2 linked regions of the Drosophila melanogaster genome follow. The protein of the gene in region 2 purifies or fractionates together with the protein of the main gene of each other region. This does not show direct contact. Each region holds a gene or a part of one and is shown on either strand. Other genes may lie near its edges. The genes, in order: CG12321 and Ufd1.

Region 1 (3,260 bases), on a different chromosome or scaffold from region 2:
TGCGACACTATCTGCGGGTCCTTCACATCCCTGGCCAGCGTATCGAGCACATATTGTGTTCGCTTTCGCATGAAAATGTGCTGCGCCTGGGCGATGATCTGTTCGAGTATGGTCTGTGACTTGGTCATGTCCAACAACGTTTCCCGATCGGCGGCCATCGGACCGGCTAGCATGCGCTTCTTAGTGGGTCCCAGTGGTGCACTGGCCGGATGGGGAAAGGGATGGTGTGAGTTCTTGTAGTGCACCTCGCGCAGAAGCTGATGCAGCGAGTGTTCCAGAACATGATCATGATCGTTAATTGGCGCCGGCTGGCTGGAATCGAAGGTGGTTGAGTGGCACAACGAGATAATAAGTTGAATGTTAGGCAGCAGAGTGGCGCGAATTTGGTTGCCGATGACCACATGTGGAATTGGTGCCTGCAATTGGATAGCTTCACGTGCCAACTGAGCGAATAGCTCCTTGCAGAAGAGCACATTCTGGGCGAACTCCAGTGTCTTCTGCCAGACACCCACCTGGGCAGTTATATTGGGTCCGTGACCCATCAGATTCAGCTGAGCGGTGCACAAATCCTCCTGATCCTTCTGTGTGATCACCTTTATGTAGGCGACACCCTGCAGTTCCGCTGGAACAATCACTCGCAATGCGGAGCTGGCCTTAAGTTGCATGCCATTGTTGCCGGATACGCTACTGCTACTGTTGGATGAGCTGGCTGTGTCCTCATCACCGGTCTCTTCTGCTTTGGTCACCTCGAAGGTACCGCTCATGCCAAACTTGGAGCCCGCGGTGCGGTAGCTGAGATCCCCGATAATCGCATTGGACACCTTCTTCAGGCGCCAGTTCTGTCGCAGGCGCAGTAGTTCTATGTGGAAATCTGAGACATTGCGATTGCGCTGCTCGCTGTGCGCGTTCCGCAGGCGTTCAGCGCCACTTAGGAGCACTTGGGCTGCCTGAGAGATGGCTTTCTTGCGGCTGTACACCTGCACAATGGGCTTGGTGTCGTCAGCCTCCTCGAGCAGTGGATCGAGCACTAAATAGCGCTTGTCCTTGGCAATGGAGATCACATCGGACAGCACACATATCTCCGTGAGCGCATCCTTCAGCTTGTTGCGCACCGCATCCCAGGGCCACAGGCTCTCTTGGAACTGAGTGGCGTCCTTGTCCTCGTCGGCGGCCGCTGCCGCCGACTTCTCCTCCTTCTTGAGGTCGTCCAGCGACGTCTTGCTGAAGTCTATGCGCGCCGCACATTTCGCCAGACTTTCCGACAAAGTCGGCGGCCTAAGGAGAAAAAAACAAAGAACCCAATAAATCATTGAGAAGAGGGCTTGCTGGCTAGCGGAAACACATACGGCTGATACAATTCGGTGCCATCGTAGCCAATCTCACGTATCTGGTTCTCGCAAGTCGTTTCCACTGATATATTCACGGAATTCGACATATTTGCGCCGGGAAACAAAACATTTGGTTTGTCAAAGCAAAACTAAAGAATAGTGCTGCAAAACGTCTGCGGCCGGCTATCGATAAATGAGTGCTCAAAAACAACACTTTTTTCCAGGTTAGTAACGAATGTAATGTATAAAATATTGATATTTAAAAATGTTTAATATTTAATTAATATGTGTTATAAAATTACTTTCTTGCTTTAAATTAAGTTTTATTTATTTAAGACAAAACTTTGAAATTTAATGGCTTGGCCACGTGCTTATATTCATTTATATGCGAAGTATAAGTAGGCAGCAGTCAAAAAAATGTCCTTAAATGTAAATAAAATTTGTTTACCTTAAACAACGAAGTTATCTCTTTTGATTTTTGAACCGCACTTTTATTAAGCTCCTTGCCAGAGTTGCCACCCAGTGTCAATTGGTAAACACACCAACACTGGAATCATTACTTTCATATTTTTGACTTGACTTGAATTAGCATCTTCAACTCATTCCGGACACCAAGAGATTTAACCCAATTATGCTGTTTCTAAAGGACAAGCGTACCACTCTGGACGTAGCAGAGCACACAGTAATCATACCGAGCATTTGCGTGGGAAACGCGGCGCAGCTGGCCTGTGACCTGTTGATTGCGTCCAAGGAACTCCGGCGAATTGGATCCATCACACATCCAGCCCTGATTCCGGTCTACGGACCCTCCGCCTATCAGCACGAGCCCAAAGAGAAGGTCTCCTCCTGCGAACTGTACGAGGGTACGGAGGATAAGCTACTGGTCGTGCAATTCCGGGCGCCATGGGTTGCCCGCCACACCGCGCATTTTCAGAAGGAACTAGTGGAGCTCCTCAAGGGCGCCAGACGCGTAGTCATTCTAAGCGGCAGTTTCGGCTTCGAGAAACGAGTCATTGAGGAGTCGCCATGGGCATACCGCGCCAGCGAAAACTTCAAGGAAGCGCATGCTGCCCAGCTGGGCAATGAGGAGCTGATCAAGTGGAAGGAGCACAAGGGCGATGCCATCTATGGCGGCGGCAATGCCTTGCAGTTGTTTAAAGCCTTCGATGAGCAGAAGGTGCCCGTCATGCTGTTATTCCGCTATCTCCTCGAGGGCGACAACTCCACCGATGCATCTCTAATCGTCCGGGAACTGAACGAACTCTGCGAAGACTTCCTTCAGCTGCGCAACGGAGGCGATGGCAGTTTTAAGCTCACCGTGCCCAAGTCCTGGAACCTACTATTCGGCAATGATGTTACGGAACTTCTTTTTTAAGCGTCTACATGTATTTTTCGGTGCTTTCAAATAAATGTTAATCTTTTGGTGTAGGATAAAAGATATTGCTAGCTGTGTGCTCCCGAAAGAACTCTCTGCCATGCTCCTGGTGGTCCTGACGCGTGGTCAGCGTCTGACCGAAGGTGGGCTCTCCTGCGTGCACACATGCTCCCAGCCAGGCGCTTAAAGTTGGCTCATCCGACTCGTAGATGGCGAACTTTGATTGAAACGGTCGCATTTCCATGAGCTCCTTGATTAGTCGCTCCTTGAGACCCTTGAATTGGGCACAACCGCCGGTTAGGTACACGTGCTCAACCAGGCGCTGCTGCTCAGCGGCGGGAAATAGCTTCAGCACGAATGCTATTAGTTCTGCTAGCCCCGCCTCTGAGCAACCAATCATGCTGGGCTGGAATAGAACCTCCGGCACGCGAATGTTCTCAACCCCAAAGTGCAGCTGGTAGTTCTCGGCGGCACTCTGTGGCGGAACATTGGAGTTGCCATCGGTGTTGGCATCATAGTGATTTAGGATCTTATCGAACTGCATCAACTTTTCGTTA
Region 2 (4,088 bases):
GGAAATCCAGAACTTTAGTTTGAGAGACACTTGACCAGGTGCCATCCGAGCGAAAGATGCATTGAATCGGAATGGGAATCGGTCCACTTTGCACTCACACTCACTCCGTGCGGCGCCGAGTGTGTACACGCTATGACCTTGCGGGGTTGCTGCCACCCACCGCCCACTTTGAACCCAAACCAACTCATTCATGACCCAGAGCAATCCAAAACGAAATCCACGCCGTGATATCACGTTGTGCTGAAAACAAAAAATGTATAATTTCTTTGCTTGACGTAAGCGCAAAGATCTGATGTTCGGAAATTACGAAAAACGAAATGTTTTTTTTTCTTCGAAATTCTGCAGCATGCGTATACACAGATTTTTGGGAATTTTGCTGCTTGTGTCGTTGGGCTATTTTAAAGTTTAAATGCTTATCGGAAAAGCTGCTCCATTTCGTTGGCTGTGCGCTTGTTAAATTTAGTTCCCAGACGCAAAAACTGTACGTACACAACAAGATGCCGGAGTTTTTCTTCTACCCTTAGTACTTTGCTCATCACAGTGCGACTTGGCTATAAACGATTGTATTCTAATTTGAATTTTCAAAAGAGCAGGCGATTTCATTTCACAATATTTCTTTAGCTTTGCAAAGCGTAAGCAAGTGTCATGATAACGAAAAGTGGATTTTCCCAGAAATATTTATAAATAATTTTGATAAGTTTACACAGAAAGTAAACTAAGTTTTTAGCGGAAGTGCAATATAAACAACATTTTGATTCTCGAAAAGAGGTTATCTTTAAAATCAAAAACAGAAATCGTTGTGAGTCCACTTATAAGTAAAAACTTTTGGAAACTGGAATATGTTGGGCCATAGAGCGCTTATTAAATGAATTTACAAAAATTTGCAAGGATGCAACTGACGCCTTAAGTTAGGCTTCATTATTTGAAGCCAGCTTGTGAGTCACTGGAATTTCATATTCTCTCGATTTTAATACGTTTTACATGACAAAGACAAAAGATGGGTAAATTTCACAATAGAGGGGGGTGGGGCTCTTTGTTGTGGGGAAGTTAGGGCGAGAGCGAAAGAAAGGCGAAGAAAGTGGGGAGCATGATGGCGAGGGGAGTGTCTGGAAGCTGCCAGAAGAGACAAGAGAGCGGGAGAGTGCGCATCCTCTCGCTCTTTTCACCTTCTGTTCGGTGTTTCTGTTGTTGTTCTTGTTTTTGGTGTGGCTGCAGCTGCGAAGCAACAATAACAACCACAACAGAGACTCGAAAACAGCTGCACACGAAAACGGTGGCTGTCAAACTGTTTTGCAAAATTTAAAATGTAACTGTACTTGGCAAAAACAATACATTTTGCTGTATTTCTGTATGTCGTAAAAGATCTTTCGACCTGGAAGCTGGAGAACACTTTTTCCAGCCACTTGGCCACCACCCCGCCTTTGAACAAACCAACCAATCGATTGGCCAGCTTATTGATTTTTCTATTCGAACATTTTGCATTTGTTGCTCGTTTCGGTCTTTTGCTTAGTGTGTTTGGTTCGAAAAAAGTATTGGCAATCATGTGGGCATCGACATACACACTTTTTTTTTATCACACCCACGCGAAAAACACGCGGCGCCAGCCAGACTAAAAGGATACAGGCAGCATATCCTGCACACACACACACACACGCGCGCACAAAAAAGCTCGCCAGGATCGAGTGGTGCAGTTGACCAGCAAACCGCAGCTGCTGACAGCCAATTTTGAGTAGCGGAAACAGTTGGAGCTGCTGCCCCGAAATGGGTACTCACTTGATCAGCAGCACTTTTTCGAATCAATATACCCGTCTATTCAATTTTTTTTTAAGCGGGACGAAGTCGCGCGCAACCACCGGCTTGCTGGGTTTGTTAGAGATGTGCCGATAACTCGCCACTGCGATAGCTCGAGTTGCTACTTTTTGTTGTACGCCACGCGCTTGGGATTTTAGCGAAATATGCGTGCCACAACTTAGCTTGTGCCGCAACCCCACACAGTGCTGCCACCTGTGGGCGAAAAAGTTACGTCTACATGGTGTTCTGGTCACACTGCCCCCGCCGTGACAAACAAAATAGAAAAAAAAATAAAACAAAAGATAAAATTTTAGCCTCCCCCCTTTGAGAAATAAAGGGTCATTTGAGGCAGTTTAAATCGAAAAGAATCCATAGGCACGGAGAGCCCAGCACACATAGAATGTTCCACTTCAGCGGCTTCAACATGATGTTCCCGGAGGGACGCAATTTTCATGCCAACTACAAGTGCTTCTCCGTATCCATGTTGCCAGGAAACGAGCGAACCGACGTGGAAAAGGGCGGAAAGAGTGAGTTACGAGTGTAGGCTGGACAGAAATTATGTGAACAACACATTCCATCCACAGTTATTATGCCTCCCTCGGCGCTGGACACGCTCACCCGCCTGAATGTCGAGTATCCAATGCTGTTCAAGCTGACCAACGTCAAGAAATCGCGATCCTCGCATGCCGGCGTACTCGAGTTTGTGGCCGACGAGGGCAAATGCTATCTACCCCACTGGATGATGGAAAACCTGCTGTTGGGTGAGGGCGACATACTCAACATCGAGAGTGTCTCGCTGCCGGTGGCCACCTTCTCAAAGTTTCAACCGCACAGCACCGACTTCCTGGACATCACCAATCCCAAGGCGGTGCTGGAGAATGCATTGCGCAACTTTGCCTGCCTCACCAGGGGCGATGTCATAGCCATTAAGTACAACAAGAAGGTCTACGAACTGTGTGTCCTGGAGACAAAGCCCGGCAATGCAGTCAGCATCATTGAGTGCGACATGAATGTGGAATTTGAGGCGCCAGTCGGCTACAAGGATCACTCCGAAACGCAGGCATCGGGCTCTGGGCAGCAGGGTGCTGCTGGAACTGTTGGCGGCGAAATCGCTGGAGCCACCAACGCCATACTCGAAGAGGTCGTGGAGACCTTCAAGGGTTCCGGCGTACGTCTCGATGGTAAGAAGAAGAAGGAAAGCCAGTTGGAAACGCCGGTCGTTAAGAAGGTGCTAGCCCGCGGCGTTCCAGACTATGATTTCCAGTTTGGACTCATCCGTTTCGATCGCAACATTCGGCCTATCAGTGATAGAAGCCAAGAAGATGATGCCGTAGCTGGCAATGCGGACGCTTCCGATGCGGAGAGCTTCCACGGCACCGGTTTCTCGATGAAGAAAACGCGCAAATAGCTCTGTATCTCTAGTTCTAGTTATATATTGTGTGACACATAGAAATTAAAGGAAAAACCTCACAGGGGCAGCGTCAACTTGATGGCCTCCTCCTTGGGCGGAGCCGGTGGCGATATGGTGGTCATGGGCGGCAATCGGCGTATCTTGCGTCCGTGTTTGCCTTCCTTGCGCTTCCACAGACCGGAACGTGGTCGATTGCCCATCTCCCGCATCCGCTGGGCACTGCCCACATGCTCCTTGTTGTGTTCCGGGTTGGACAGGCGACCAACCGTCGCCATGCAGGTGCGCTGGAAGGCGAACTCCCGCTTCGAGGGCAGCTGCACCACCACCTTTTCGTCGAACTTGCGCAGAATGGTGCCGAAGGTGCCGGCGGCATGGATCAGGTGGCACATCTGGCCGGGGTTCTTCTCCAGACAGTGAATGCGTGTGCCCACGGGCAAGGCGCCCAATGGATAGGCATCGCCTTCGTTGGGACGCACTATGGGATCATACAAAAAAAAAAAATTATATTGGCATAACTGGTTGTTTCAGAGCCAGTAAAATTTCTAGATTCCATGCTCAGTTTAAGACTATACTCAGAGGATTACTTAGAAAACGTTTAATACTCCCGATGAGTAACAGTAAGTAAATTTACCCGGAATCCTAGGAATAAAGCGCGAGGTCTTGAGGATATCGCCAGCCTTCATGTTCTCGGTGGCCAGGATGTACTTCAGCTCATCGCCGACGGCAACCAGGGCCACTTTGGCGGTGCGACAGCCATCGCGTAGCACCTCGAGTACCAGTTCCTCCTGGGCGCCCTCCGTGGGACCATCCCGCACCCATTTAACCCAGCGATACTGCTGTTTGATGCCTCCGCCAATGCCCTTGGCCACCAAGCGACCGGAGACGG

The links.
Region 1: the proteins of Ufd1 (region 2) and CG12321 purify together in Drosophila melanogaster (affinity purification with mass spectrometry, with the first as the bait; one large-scale study listed by BioGRID). This does not show direct contact.

The regions. Positions count from the first base shown.
Region 1 is NT_033777.3:18,187,305-18,190,564, reverse strand, and holds CG12321 (uncharacterized protein), read left to right. Parts: upstream 1-1,857; 5' UTR 1,858-1,959; coding exon 1,960-2,703; 3' UTR 2,704-2,740; downstream 2,741-3,260. Other genes in the region: MED17 (mediator complex subunit 17), read right to left, coding at 1-1,275, 1,347-1,435; Arp5 (Actin-related protein 5), read right to left, coding at 2,741-3,260.
Region 2 is NT_037436.4:11,121,152-11,125,239, reverse strand, and holds Ufd1 (ubiquitin fusion-degradation 1-like), read left to right. Parts: upstream 1-2,023; 5' UTR 2,024-2,191; coding exon 2,192-2,318; intron 2,319-2,375; coding exon 2,376-3,199; 3' UTR 3,200-3,258; downstream 3,259-4,088. Other genes in the region: mRpL2 (mitochondrial ribosomal protein L2), read right to left, coding at 3,259-3,677, 3,834-4,088.